Arabidopsis thaliana: one gene and its partner. The protein of the gene in region 1 interacts with the protein of each later gene in a pairwise test. Each region holds a gene or a part of one and is shown on either strand. Other genes may lie near its edges.

Region 1 (5,827 bases):
CAATAAATTTAAGCCTAATACTATTTAATACCATTAGCCTGAATGCAATCACAATCTCTAGCTCACGTACTGCTCAGCTAAACATGATTATACTAGATATAATTTTGAAGTACAAATACTAGCTAATCAAAAGAATTTAGAGGTAGCCTAGTCGAAGCTCCAAATCAAGAACTTGGTTGGGATTCCTCAAACTCATCCCAAGCTCCAACCCCATGACTTGATCATCTTTCTTATTCATCAGATCCCCACGGCTTATCTCACATCTTACTGAATGACATGCATCGATGGCACTTTTCTTGATCTCTCTGCTACATACATTGCTCTTGTTCTTCTCTCTGTCCATCATCAAACCTCCATAGCTAGTAGTACTGTCCAAAAGATCAAACCGGGCAGAAGGAAAAGGAGTGGTTTTGGATCTCTGGTTGGTTAGGGAAGGCTCAAGATGAGCTGTTGTTGTTGAAGAGGAAGAAGAAGAGCTAAAATTAGGGTTAGGGTTTGCAATAGGTGTGTGGTGGTGAGGTTCGAAGAGCCAAGAAGGGATCTGCCTGAGTTTTGCTCTGTCTCTTCTATGAACATTCATGTGGCCTCCAAGTGCTTGAGCAGATCTGAACTCTCTCCTGCAGAAGCTGCAAGTGTAATTCTTGGGAGGCCATGGGATCAGCCCAGCTTCGTAATTCTTGTAGTGATTCATGATGACTCTGTTGTCACCATTACCGTCTTCTCCTTCTTCTTCTTGGGTTTTGTCTCTGTTACTAAAACTTGCCAAATGTGTTCTCTTCATATTTTCCAACAGATGATGATCAATGCTGGTGGTGAATGATGAAGATAGTATGATACTCCCCTGCATGAAATAAACTAAGATGTTATGTATGTATATATTAATTCAAAAGTGAGAAAGAATAAGAGTGGGGGATGATGAAAACCGTATAGATAGAGATTTTTGAGTTTGATGAGGAACTAAGGAAGAATGTAACTACGGAGGAGTTACTATGTGTTATATAGAGTCAAAAGGGAAACAAAAACAGAAGGTGGTTTTTATCCTTACTTGAGGAAGGAGGTGCATGTACGGATGATCATTTATTAGGGTTTAAGTCTGTTACATGTTTGGTCAGATATATTGGAGAATAATGAGTATAGGCTAGGCTATGTTCGATTAGATATCATGAGTGGAAATTATTTAAAAAAATAAAATAAAAAGAGAGAAAGAAAGAGACAAAGAGGTAGTTTCATGATTAAGAGGGAGAGAAAGAGGAATTGAATAGAGGCTACTTAACTCATGATGCTCATATGCCTGCAATGTGTCTGCTTGTTACTATAATTGGAAGTTACTTGAGACCAATGTTATTGTGGTATGGGAACTCTGTGTTGCATTAATATTTTGTGTCAAAATCTTGCAGGGAGATAACTTGCCATTTCATTTTCATCATATTCCATCTCTGGCTCCACAAATCTCTTCATTATATATATTTGAACATCTATTATATACACACAAGATAGCCTAAAAATATGAACATGTGTTTAGTTTTTTGATATGGAGAGATTGTAGTGAATAGTGATGGAGGGCCAAAAGAAACCAAAACTATTACTAATTGATTTTGACATTGATTAGAAGAAACTGTAAAGGAAAGAAACAAGGCTTGTGTATGCATTAAGGACATAGACAATGACGTCCCTGATGTCTTCAGAGTTATTGCAGCTTATATCCATAACTAAGAAAACTTACATATTACTTTAAAACTAAGTAATAAACCAGTAACGCTAACAATCGTATGCCACATCTAGACAAGTGTAAACAAAATTGGTGGATATAGAATTATAACCCTATCAGCATATCAACTTTATGGGTTGAGGAACTCAATTTCGGTTGTCAAATATATATTGTGTGACAAATTTTAACTTATCAAATTTTATTCTCATTCCTTAATCAAGCATTAAAGTTTTCTCAATTGACCAATCTCTAAGAATTGAAAAAATAATCTTCATCTAGTTAATGCATATCTATTGAATTTGGAAAATTTAAAAGTTTTTTTTTATTAATTTTGTTTTTGGGAAAATCATAAAAGACACCCTCCCCTCAATAGAAGATGAAACGCGGCGTTTCATAAATAAAAACGAGAAAATCAAAATCGTCGCTCTCTGTTTGCTGGCGTAACTTAGCCTTGTTCTTCTTCTTCATCGCGATATCTCCGGTGTCTTCTTCGTCTCCATCAGAAGAAGAAGCTCTCTGTATCCATCCATATCGAAAAAGTATGAACTTTATCCGAATTTCTTCTCAATTTTATGGATTTATTAGTCAGACTCATGTTAGGGTTTTGTTCGATTTCATGAATTTAGGGTTGAAATTTTGCTTGTTTGTATAGACTCTAATGGAACTGATGGTTTGTTTTAGGATTGGGTTGATCTAAAAAAATGCTTTTTTGCTTTGTTGTTGTCGTGAATTCTGCTCAATACCTTCCATTAAGTAATCAGTTTTGGTTTGTGATGAATAGCCAGAGATCGGAGGAAGGAGAGAGAGATACCAATCTCTGTTGCTTTGGTTTTAAGGTAATGTGTTTGTTTCCTTCCTCATGAGAATCGGAATATTAAGGTATTTTGTGGTTAAGATTTTAGTTGATTTTTGAGAATGGTTTTGGTCAGGGTTTAGAGGAGATGTCAAACCACCCGAAGATCACATCGGCGCATCAGAATGTGGAGGAGAAGCTAAGGGAACTTCAGGAGAGGTTCTGTCATCTTCAAGCTGCTAGGAAAGAAGGGCGGCATGGTGACCTTGCGCTTTTAGAAGCCCAAATCTCTCAGAATATTCGGGAGTGGCAAGCTGAACTCACTGCTCCTTCTCCTGAATCTTCTCTGTTGGTTCGTCCTACTCCATTACCATACTTCTCTATGGTTTATGGTTCCAATTCTTTGAAAAATAGTGAATCTGTAAGCTTGGTTGAGATTTAGCTCTTTTGGTCTTTAACATGTTGCAGGGTGAAGGTATTAGCCAATTCCTTGAGGAGTTTGCTCCTCTGTTGAAATTAGACGAGGAGGATGATGCAACTAGTACGCTAAAAGAACATGCTGGAGCAAAGCCTGATCCTGAGGGTTTTTCTCAAAGCTTGTGCCCTCCTGAATGGACATCTGAGAATTTTAGTCAAAGTCCTTTCAACGGAAATTTCTCCTGCGGCTTTGAGGTGAGCTAGATACAGTTTCTGCGTCAAAATTGTCTTCTATAATCTTTTGATTGTTGGTTAGATGTTCCTAGACATTTGAACACCGTTGATTCTTTATTCCAGTTCAGCTATGAGTTTTGATCTTTTTCATTCTTGTCTTAGTTTTGATTTTGTTTCCTTATGTACAAGTTCACCTTTTCTATCTCAGGATGCTCTTAATAGCACAGAAACACATGGCCAGCAACTCCATTATGGATATGAAGGGTTTGATCCAAGCATAAACTCCGCTCCTGATTTCCATGACCAAAAACTCAGCAGCAACTTGGATATAACTTCTCAGTATGATTATATTTTCTCCGAAGTGCGTCAGGAACTAGATAACAGCCCTTCCACTAAGCTTGATTCTTCTGAAGAGATTGACAACTTTGCTGAATTTTCTACTCCATCAAGTGTCCGTGTGCCTCCATCTGCTTTTCTGGGACCTAAGTGTGCACTATGGGATTGCACAAGGCCTGCTCAGGGCTCCGAGTGGTACCTGGATTACTGCAGTAACTACCATGGGACTCTAGCTCTGAATGAAGATTCGCCTGGCACAGCACCTGTATTGAGGCCAGGGGGCATCAGTTTGAAAGATAATCTATTGATTGATGCTCTTCGTGCAAAGACTCAGGGTAAGAATGTTGGGATCCCAGTGTGTGAAGGAGCTGTTAACACAAAATGCCCATGGAACGCAGCAGGTGAGAGCATTGTCCCACTAGAGCCCAGTTTTGCTTCTCTCTTTGTTTTAGTTCAACATTTCGTTGCCTCTTTGAAAACAGAAGCCTTATGTGAGTTTCTTACTTTTGCCTGACCCTTAATTTTTTGTACTTGCAGAGCTATTTCATCTTGAACTGGTTGAAGGCGAAACAATTAGAGAGTGGCTCTTCTTTGACAAACCTAGAAGAGCATATGATAGCGGAAACCGAAAGCAAAGATCACTTCCAGATTACAGTGGAAGAGGTTGGCATGAATCAAGAAAACAACTGATGAAGGAACAAGAAGGCCAGAAGAGATCTTACTATATGGATCCACAACCTCCAGGTCCCTTTGAGTGGCATCTCTTTGAATACCAAATCAATGAATCTGACGCATGTGCGTTATATCGCCTAGAACTTAAAGTAGGAAATGGAAAGAAGAGTCCTAAGGGAAAGATTTCAAAAGACCCTCTGGCTGATCTGCAGAAGAAGATGGGACAGTTTAAAGTGGCTTCAGACAAACCCTCTCCTCCAACCAAAGGTCGTAAGGAGTGAAGTTAGCTATTGGTAATCTAACTCAAGACTCCTGCAACAATAGCTCCAAGTTGTCTCCAGCATTCTACAAAAGAGCCATCGCCACCTCTGTTTTCTTTTTTTTTTTCTTTCTGACTGTATTATGAAGAGATAGGATCTTTGATGTGTTGTGTTAATATGGACAAGTCTGGTCTTTGCCCTTTTTCTTGATAGAATCGTAGATGGGTTTGTAAATTTTTGCATTTTATTTTTCTCCTTTAAAACCACAAGGATTTTGTTAACGAAGTGGTGTATTCATATTTCAAAGGTACATTTGCAACACCATTGATTCTTTATTCCAATTCTTATCTACGTGTGTGTGTGAATGAAACTTGAAACCAATACAAGTCACTAATGCTCTCAGATTATGTAATTGGGCTTTACTGGGCCGTTTATAAAATTGGGCTAGAAAAAGGGAGACAGCAGACGACAAGAGCATCCTTGTTCTCTTTAAACCCTAAATTACAAGCAAATCACCAACAGAGAGAGTAATGGCGAAAAATTCTGGTAGCTCGTTTGAAGCAGAGAAATCAGAGGGAAAGTGTGTTACGACGACTACTGAAGCACAAGTAATTCAAAATTCTGGCTGATGAATTATGTATTTGATTTTACGTATTTGTAATTCACTAATTCTCACTGATTCATACAATTTGTGTCGTAAATGAACAGCAAAGTAGTCAACCTGTTTTGAGCAAGGAAGAGGAGAAAGTGAGAGATAGCTACTTGTTCTGCTGTGAAAATTTCTACACTCTTCCTGAGATGATCAATTTCATGAAGGAGATTCATGGTGTAGAACAAACCACTGTGACAAAGGTTTTCAGGGAACTTTTAAAAGGTAGAAAAGCTGAAGCATATCTCAGAGAATCTCAGAAAAGAATGAAGGCAAGAACAACAACAACAACTTGAACAGAGGAGGATGAGGCTTAGGTTGCTCTAATTTGAAATTCTTTGGTTTGGTTTACTGGTTAGTAAGAAATAGACTTGTATTGTCACATTTTTTTATCATATTTTGAGGTCCATTGCTTTGGGTGTATGGACCAGACTAGGACAAATGAATAGGAGATGCAAAAGGGTAATAATGGAGAAGTCAGTCTTGTTGGTCTATTCTTGTCCGAGTCCATGATTTTTAGAGGGAGAACTAGAAGGAGGAACTAAAAGTTGTTTAGGTTAATGGTTTAGGTGCTAAGTGTTGGCTCTGTGTGTTACTTATGACTCGTGGGATCTAATGTCTTGTGAAAAATCACTTGTGAGATAAAATGGACATAGTCTAGAGAAGAAGGTATATAAGAAGAAAAGCAGTCAACTTAACTACAAAATCACAACGGCTCACAACTGTTTTATGTTGTAGAAGTTGGTTGCTTCTTAGAG
Region 2 (5,503 bases), on another chromosome or scaffold:
CGTCATGCTTATTTTTATATGTACTTAAGTAAATATTCTCATTAGGGACTCATGAGCTCTTACATATAGTTAACTTTTTTTGACATGCCACGTTAGTAATTAAGATGAATATTGAATAATGAATATAACGTATTCAAGAGGAGAAATAACGTTGGTTTCATGATTGATAATATGATATTCACCGGTGTAGATTTGAATGTACGAAACAAGTTATATGACTACATTTTAAAGTGTTTTTTTTTTTTTTTTTTTTTGAATTTTCTAGATTTCGTATACTGGTGAAATCTGTAGTGATATTTAAGGAATTACCGGAAGAAACAGAAATAATTTTATTGTGTATGATACTATGATCAATACTAATATCAACTTCTGTTTGTCTGCCGTTAAGGTCAGCAAGGAACGCGTTGAATCAGTACCCACGTTTCTCACTGGACGGTAAGGACGCTATGTACCGGTCATCCTTCCGGCGCCATCTTGGCACCAGTGCTGACATGACGATACAGGGTGGGCGGAGATCCCACTGCGGGGATCAACGGACATCAAAGAGATCGAGCCAGATGAGCTTGGAGACAAAACGCCTGCCACGGACAGTGGCCGGAGAGAGTGTGGTATGGTGCAAGACGGGGGTTGTTGCAAAGCTGATGGGTCTGGAGATGATACCTGTTCCGGACAAGGGAAAATCGGGAAAAGATAAGTTAGGGACTCTGCTCAAGAGGGAGCGTCTAAGGAGGAGAGAACGGACTCTGGACGTTAATGGTCGGACCGGTCCGACGACTGAAGCTTCTTGCTCGTCTGGAGGGTTTAACATTACTAGACCAATCGGAGCAGTTGGGTCGCCTAGTCGCATGGGTGGATGGCCCACAGCCCGTCTCCCATAGACTTACGATGCAAAACTAGCCCATTAAAAACCTTCATGTTATCTATAAATTTTCATTACTGATTGATTCAGTAACTTTCTATGTTTCTCATAAATCTTCTAGACTACATAATTAAGGATTTCCAAACCAAGCACACACATTTTTGTGACTCAATTAATTCTCTCTGAGCGAGAAATCTTAGGAAGCAGGCAAAAACACAGTATACAAGTTCTGTCTCAAGCTCAGATTTTGGTTTCAGACAGAGTTGGATGTTCGATGGACGAGAGTACACTGCGATTCAATTGGAAAATACCTAACAAACTTTGGTTGCGAAAACCCAAGAAATTGTGGATTTGTGTTGGATATATCAGACGGAAACTCCTAGGTCCGACATACCCATGATCCTTTTGTTCAATGCAATCCTCTTCTGTCTCAAAAGCGAAGTCATGGAAGCCACCTAATGATTTACGACAAAAGAATTTAATGAGACGTTCATAGCAATGAAGCTCAAACAATGGGCGAGAAGAAAAAAGTCAGACTCACTTCAGCTCTAAGCTTGATAGCATCCCTTCCAGGAATTTGCCGAAGTCCGTCCATCAAATCTGCAGCGAATAGAACTCTTTGTGTAAGTTGAAATCTGACGTAGTGGCATTATCAAAGATACCATTTGAAGGGAGAAGGGAGAAGTGAGTAAAAATAAATCTTGTTCAAGATTACCAGCAGCTTCACATTCAGCTTTGTGGACGGACTTAGCAAGACGATGTATATCGTTTCCAGAGTTCCTATAGATATAACAGTAGTACCCATATTAACATAAATGATGTCAATAACTTAATAAAAGAAGTGGGAGCGTCCATGTTGGGGCATACATGAGCTCAGAGAGACCACGTTTCATATCCTTCTCTGCTAAAGCCGTCCTCTCAAGCAATTTCCTGCTCTCCTTTTTCATCAAGTCTACAGACATGTTTAACTCCTGAACATGCTTCTCAGCTTTCAAGAATTGTGCCTGAAGCGACGATGATTTTGAAGTGGATGTAAAAATAAGGGAAGGGACACAGACCAGGGCAACTAAGCATAACAACGTTAAGAAATAAATTTGAAGCTGGTATAGTATATACCTCTTCGCTCTGAAATCGGCCTAGTGTATTACGAAACAAGAATCTTCTTGGGCCTGTAAGTCGAACAATAGAAAACCAAATTCATACAAGACACATATAAGTAAAACAGATGTAATACCATTTGGATGCTCCTACGGGAAGGAATCTTGTAAGTTGTAAAAGTGATAAGAGAGTAGAGGTTATACCTCGCATCAGAACGAGACTAGCAGCGACACCAATCCCAATAGCAGCAGCCGGATGCTCTTTTGCGTATATCAATTCGTCTGCGAGGATAACAAAAGCAGCAGAGGATACGAGGATTGATTAATCGGAATGACATGAAGATTCTAGTTTCAGAACACTATAAGATGCACTACAAGTATATATAAAAGTTTTGTGGCAGCTATCTGTTATATCTCAGTTTGATCTAAAATACTCGTTCCTAAGCATTACAGTAGTCTACCAGTATAACTTTTTCACGAAAATTGGCTGCAAGATACCTGTAACTTTACTGAAGAAAGCATTCTCATAGGTCTTATACTGAGTCAAAGCATGTGGAATGAAATCCTGCAATTTCAGAATCAAATGTAAGATTGTATGAGAGAAGACGAAGACATATACATACATCTAATGGAACTGTGATTTCAGCCAGATAGGGTCTACTCCATATCACACATCATTAAGCTACATGAATATCTGATATCATATAAAAACATTGTTTAGAGAATAATCAAGAATGCCTCAGCGATACATTACAGTCTTCTAAACAACCATTTGAAGCAGAATCAGAACCCAGGAAGAGACTAAGATCATTGCCAATAAGTTATAATGGTATGATTCAACAAGATTTTACCCATATGAACAAAAACTAGCACCATTCAATACATAAAACTGCTAATTGGAGAAATATCTGTTCTGAATCGAGCTCATTTCTAGAAATTATAGCTTACGAGATACTAAATTCCACCATATCCATGGTTTGAAATCCTGAAAATGTTTTTTGGTAAACAATCTCGATTCGCAAAAATTGTTTGGTGAACAAAAGAGAGATTAACTAACCTGTATAGAGCGGAACTGAGAGGTAGAATTTTCACGGAGGGAACGAGCAGAACGCATTGCGGTATCCTTCGATTCCTTCACCGTCCGTTGCAAATCACCCACCCATTTCTCTGCTCCTTCTATGGCTCCTTCCACCGATTCAACCACTCCGATCGCTGTATGCTCCATCGCATCAGAAACAGTTTCAGTCTCAATCGCTGGAGCCGAATCATCGGTAACGCCGGTTGCTTCGGTTTCGCTCATCGTCTCCGATTTGCCTTTCTCGCACGGAGACAACGCCTTTTCTCCTTCTTTCAACTTCAACCGGTTCGATTCGGTTCAATTTGATTCCAAATTAGAAGTTGGTTTTAAATGGTTAAGATAGACCCGGCTCCTTTATATATCAGTTTGCGGTTAATGGGCTTTAAGATTGGGTCTGCGAACTATACATTACATTCCCTTTTCTTCGTCTTCATCTTCGTCTTCCTTTCCTCCTTCATTCCTCTTTTCTTCGTCTCCCACCATTTCTGCAGAAGAAGACAAATAAAAAAGCTCTCATTTATCTTCGTGGAGATCTAAAAGAAGGAGGAAGACATTTCTTCCCTCTGGATCTCCAAAAGTAAGAACATTTACAAGGTTTGTTTTTGTATTTGTTTTGTTTTAATTACTCCATGAGAATTGAGAGTTTTCTTTTCATGGATTAGCCCTGATTTCTATTGTTATCTCTTTATAGAGGCAAATTTTGGTTGATCTGTTTATTCGCATTTGCATAGAAAGCTTGCGTTTTGTTGTCTGAAACTTGAGCTAATGATGTTGGTGAAGATGATATTATCCTCTTTTTAGTGAAACTTTTGGGAATACCATTCTCTTTATTTAGATCTGATGAAACAAAGGTCGAAACTTTATAGGTTTGCTTCTTCATGTTTTTTTTTTTGTTGTTCTTCTGGTTGTTTCAGAAACGAGAGGTTTGGGTGGGGAAGGAAAGAAGGAGGAAGAGGCAATGTCAGCTAGGTATTGGTGTCACATGTGTTCACAAATGGTGAATCCAGTTATTGGTGCCGAGATCAAATGCCCCTTTTGCCAAAGCGGGTTTGTCGAGGAAATGAGCCGTGAGATTAATGGCGGCAGCAGTAGCAGTCTAAGGGAGGTTCAAGACCCTGAGATTGATTTTGGTACAGACCGTGCATTGTCTCTATGGGGTCCAATCTTGCTTGGAATGATGAGTAATCCTCGTAGACGTAGAAGGTTTAGGAGGACAGAGTTTGGTGTGGATAATGATGAGGTCAATGTATCTGATGATGTTGATGGAAATGACAGCGTCGATATTGATCGACATCATCATCGTCGTCATCGCCACAGGCAACAAGGTAGAGAGATTGATTTAGACAGAGAGTTTGAGTCTATCCTTAGGAGGAGACGGAGAAGCTCAGCTACTATATTGCAGTTGCTTCAGGGTATTCGTGCAGGGATTGCTTCTGAGTATGAGAGCTCGGATCGAGACCTGTTAAATCAATCAGCTGTTGTTCAGGGTTCAACGAGTTTGAATCAAAACCGGAACAATACTTCTCTTTCTGCAATTGGAGATTACTTTGTTGGATCCAGTTTAGACCATTTGCTTGAACATCTAGCTGATAATGATTCAATCAGGCACGGGAGTCTTCCAGCACGTAAAGAAGTTGTGGATAATCTCCCAACGGTTAAGATAAGTGAATCATTGCAGTGCTCGATTTGTTTGGATGATTTTGACAAAGGAAGTGAAGCTAAAGAGATGCCGTGTAAGCACAAGTTTCACATCCGGTGTATAGTACCGTGGCTCGAGCTTCACAGTTCATGTCCCGTGTGCCGATATGAACTCCCTCCTGATGATGAGACCAAGGTTAATCCTGTAAGACCGAGAACAAGAACTCTAGAGATCAACGTAAGTAATGAGAATGTGGAAGATGATGCAAGGAACAGTAATGTGAGCGAGAGAAGGTTCTCTTTTCCATGGCCGTTCAGCGGATTATTCTCTTCATCCTCTTCGTCATCCGCATCGGCCTCGGGGTCATCTCATCTCGGTGAGAACTCGTAAACTGCTATTCCTCAGCTTATAGTACATAAAATCTTGTTCACTCAGATTGTTGAATACTGCATAACAAATAAACACTTTCGAGGAATGGAATCTTTTCTTTATTTGTATTATAATATCTGATGATCATTTGGGTTTCCGTTAAAAGTATCCCTTTTAATTTAGTAAAATATAAAAAGATGAACACAGGTATTTATGTTGAGAGGGAGAGGCATGTGACTGTGAGTATGGTTGTTGACTGCATGAATCGCATTATCTCCAAATACGAATCCCAAAGTTGTGTGATCACGAGCCAAATGTGATCACACATTTTTGTAAAATATATTCAAAAAATAGTCTTTGTTTATGCAATTGCACTCGTACCAAACTAATGTACTTGTAACCAGAGTATGATCCAAGAACATTATGTAGTGTGTGGGAGCCACACACAAAAAAAGAAACAA

The links. The genes of interacting proteins can lie anywhere in the genome.
Region 2: the proteins of VOZ2 (region 1) and AT4G26410 interact in a two-hybrid assay, tested with the Arabidopsis thaliana proteins (one large-scale study listed by BioGRID).

Annotation. Positions count from the first base shown.
Region 1 is NC_003071.7:17,653,104-17,658,930, reverse strand, and holds VOZ2 (vascular plant one zinc finger protein 2), read left to right. Parts: upstream 1-2,067; 5' UTR 2,068-2,247; intron 2,248-2,489; 5' UTR 2,490-2,544; intron 2,545-2,637; 5' UTR 2,638-2,649; coding exon 2,650-2,853; intron 2,854-2,969; coding exon 2,970-3,173; intron 3,174-3,360; coding exon 3,361-3,889; intron 3,890-4,025; coding exon 4,026-4,441; 3' UTR 4,442-4,761; downstream 4,762-5,827. Other genes in the region: ZFP11 (zinc finger protein 11), read right to left, coding at 137-841, 1,046-1,063; AT2G42395 (uncharacterized protein), read left to right, coding at 4,951-5,028, 5,129-5,365.
Region 2 is NC_003075.7:13,344,513-13,350,015, reverse strand, and holds AT4G26410 (chromosome-associated kinesin), read right to left. Parts: upstream 3,363-5,503; 5' UTR 3,257-3,362; coding exon 3,014-3,256; intron 2,522-3,013; coding exon 2,455-2,521; intron 2,239-2,454; coding exon 2,161-2,238; intron 2,029-2,160; coding exon 1,976-2,028; intron 1,864-1,975; coding exon 1,727-1,863; intron 1,640-1,726; coding exon 1,575-1,639; intron 1,460-1,574; coding exon 1,401-1,459; intron 1,315-1,400; coding exon 1,225-1,314; 3' UTR 879-1,224; downstream 1-878. Other genes in the region: AT4G26415 (uncharacterized protein), read left to right, coding at 389-878; AT4G26400 (RING/U-box superfamily protein), read left to right, coding at 3,993-5,063.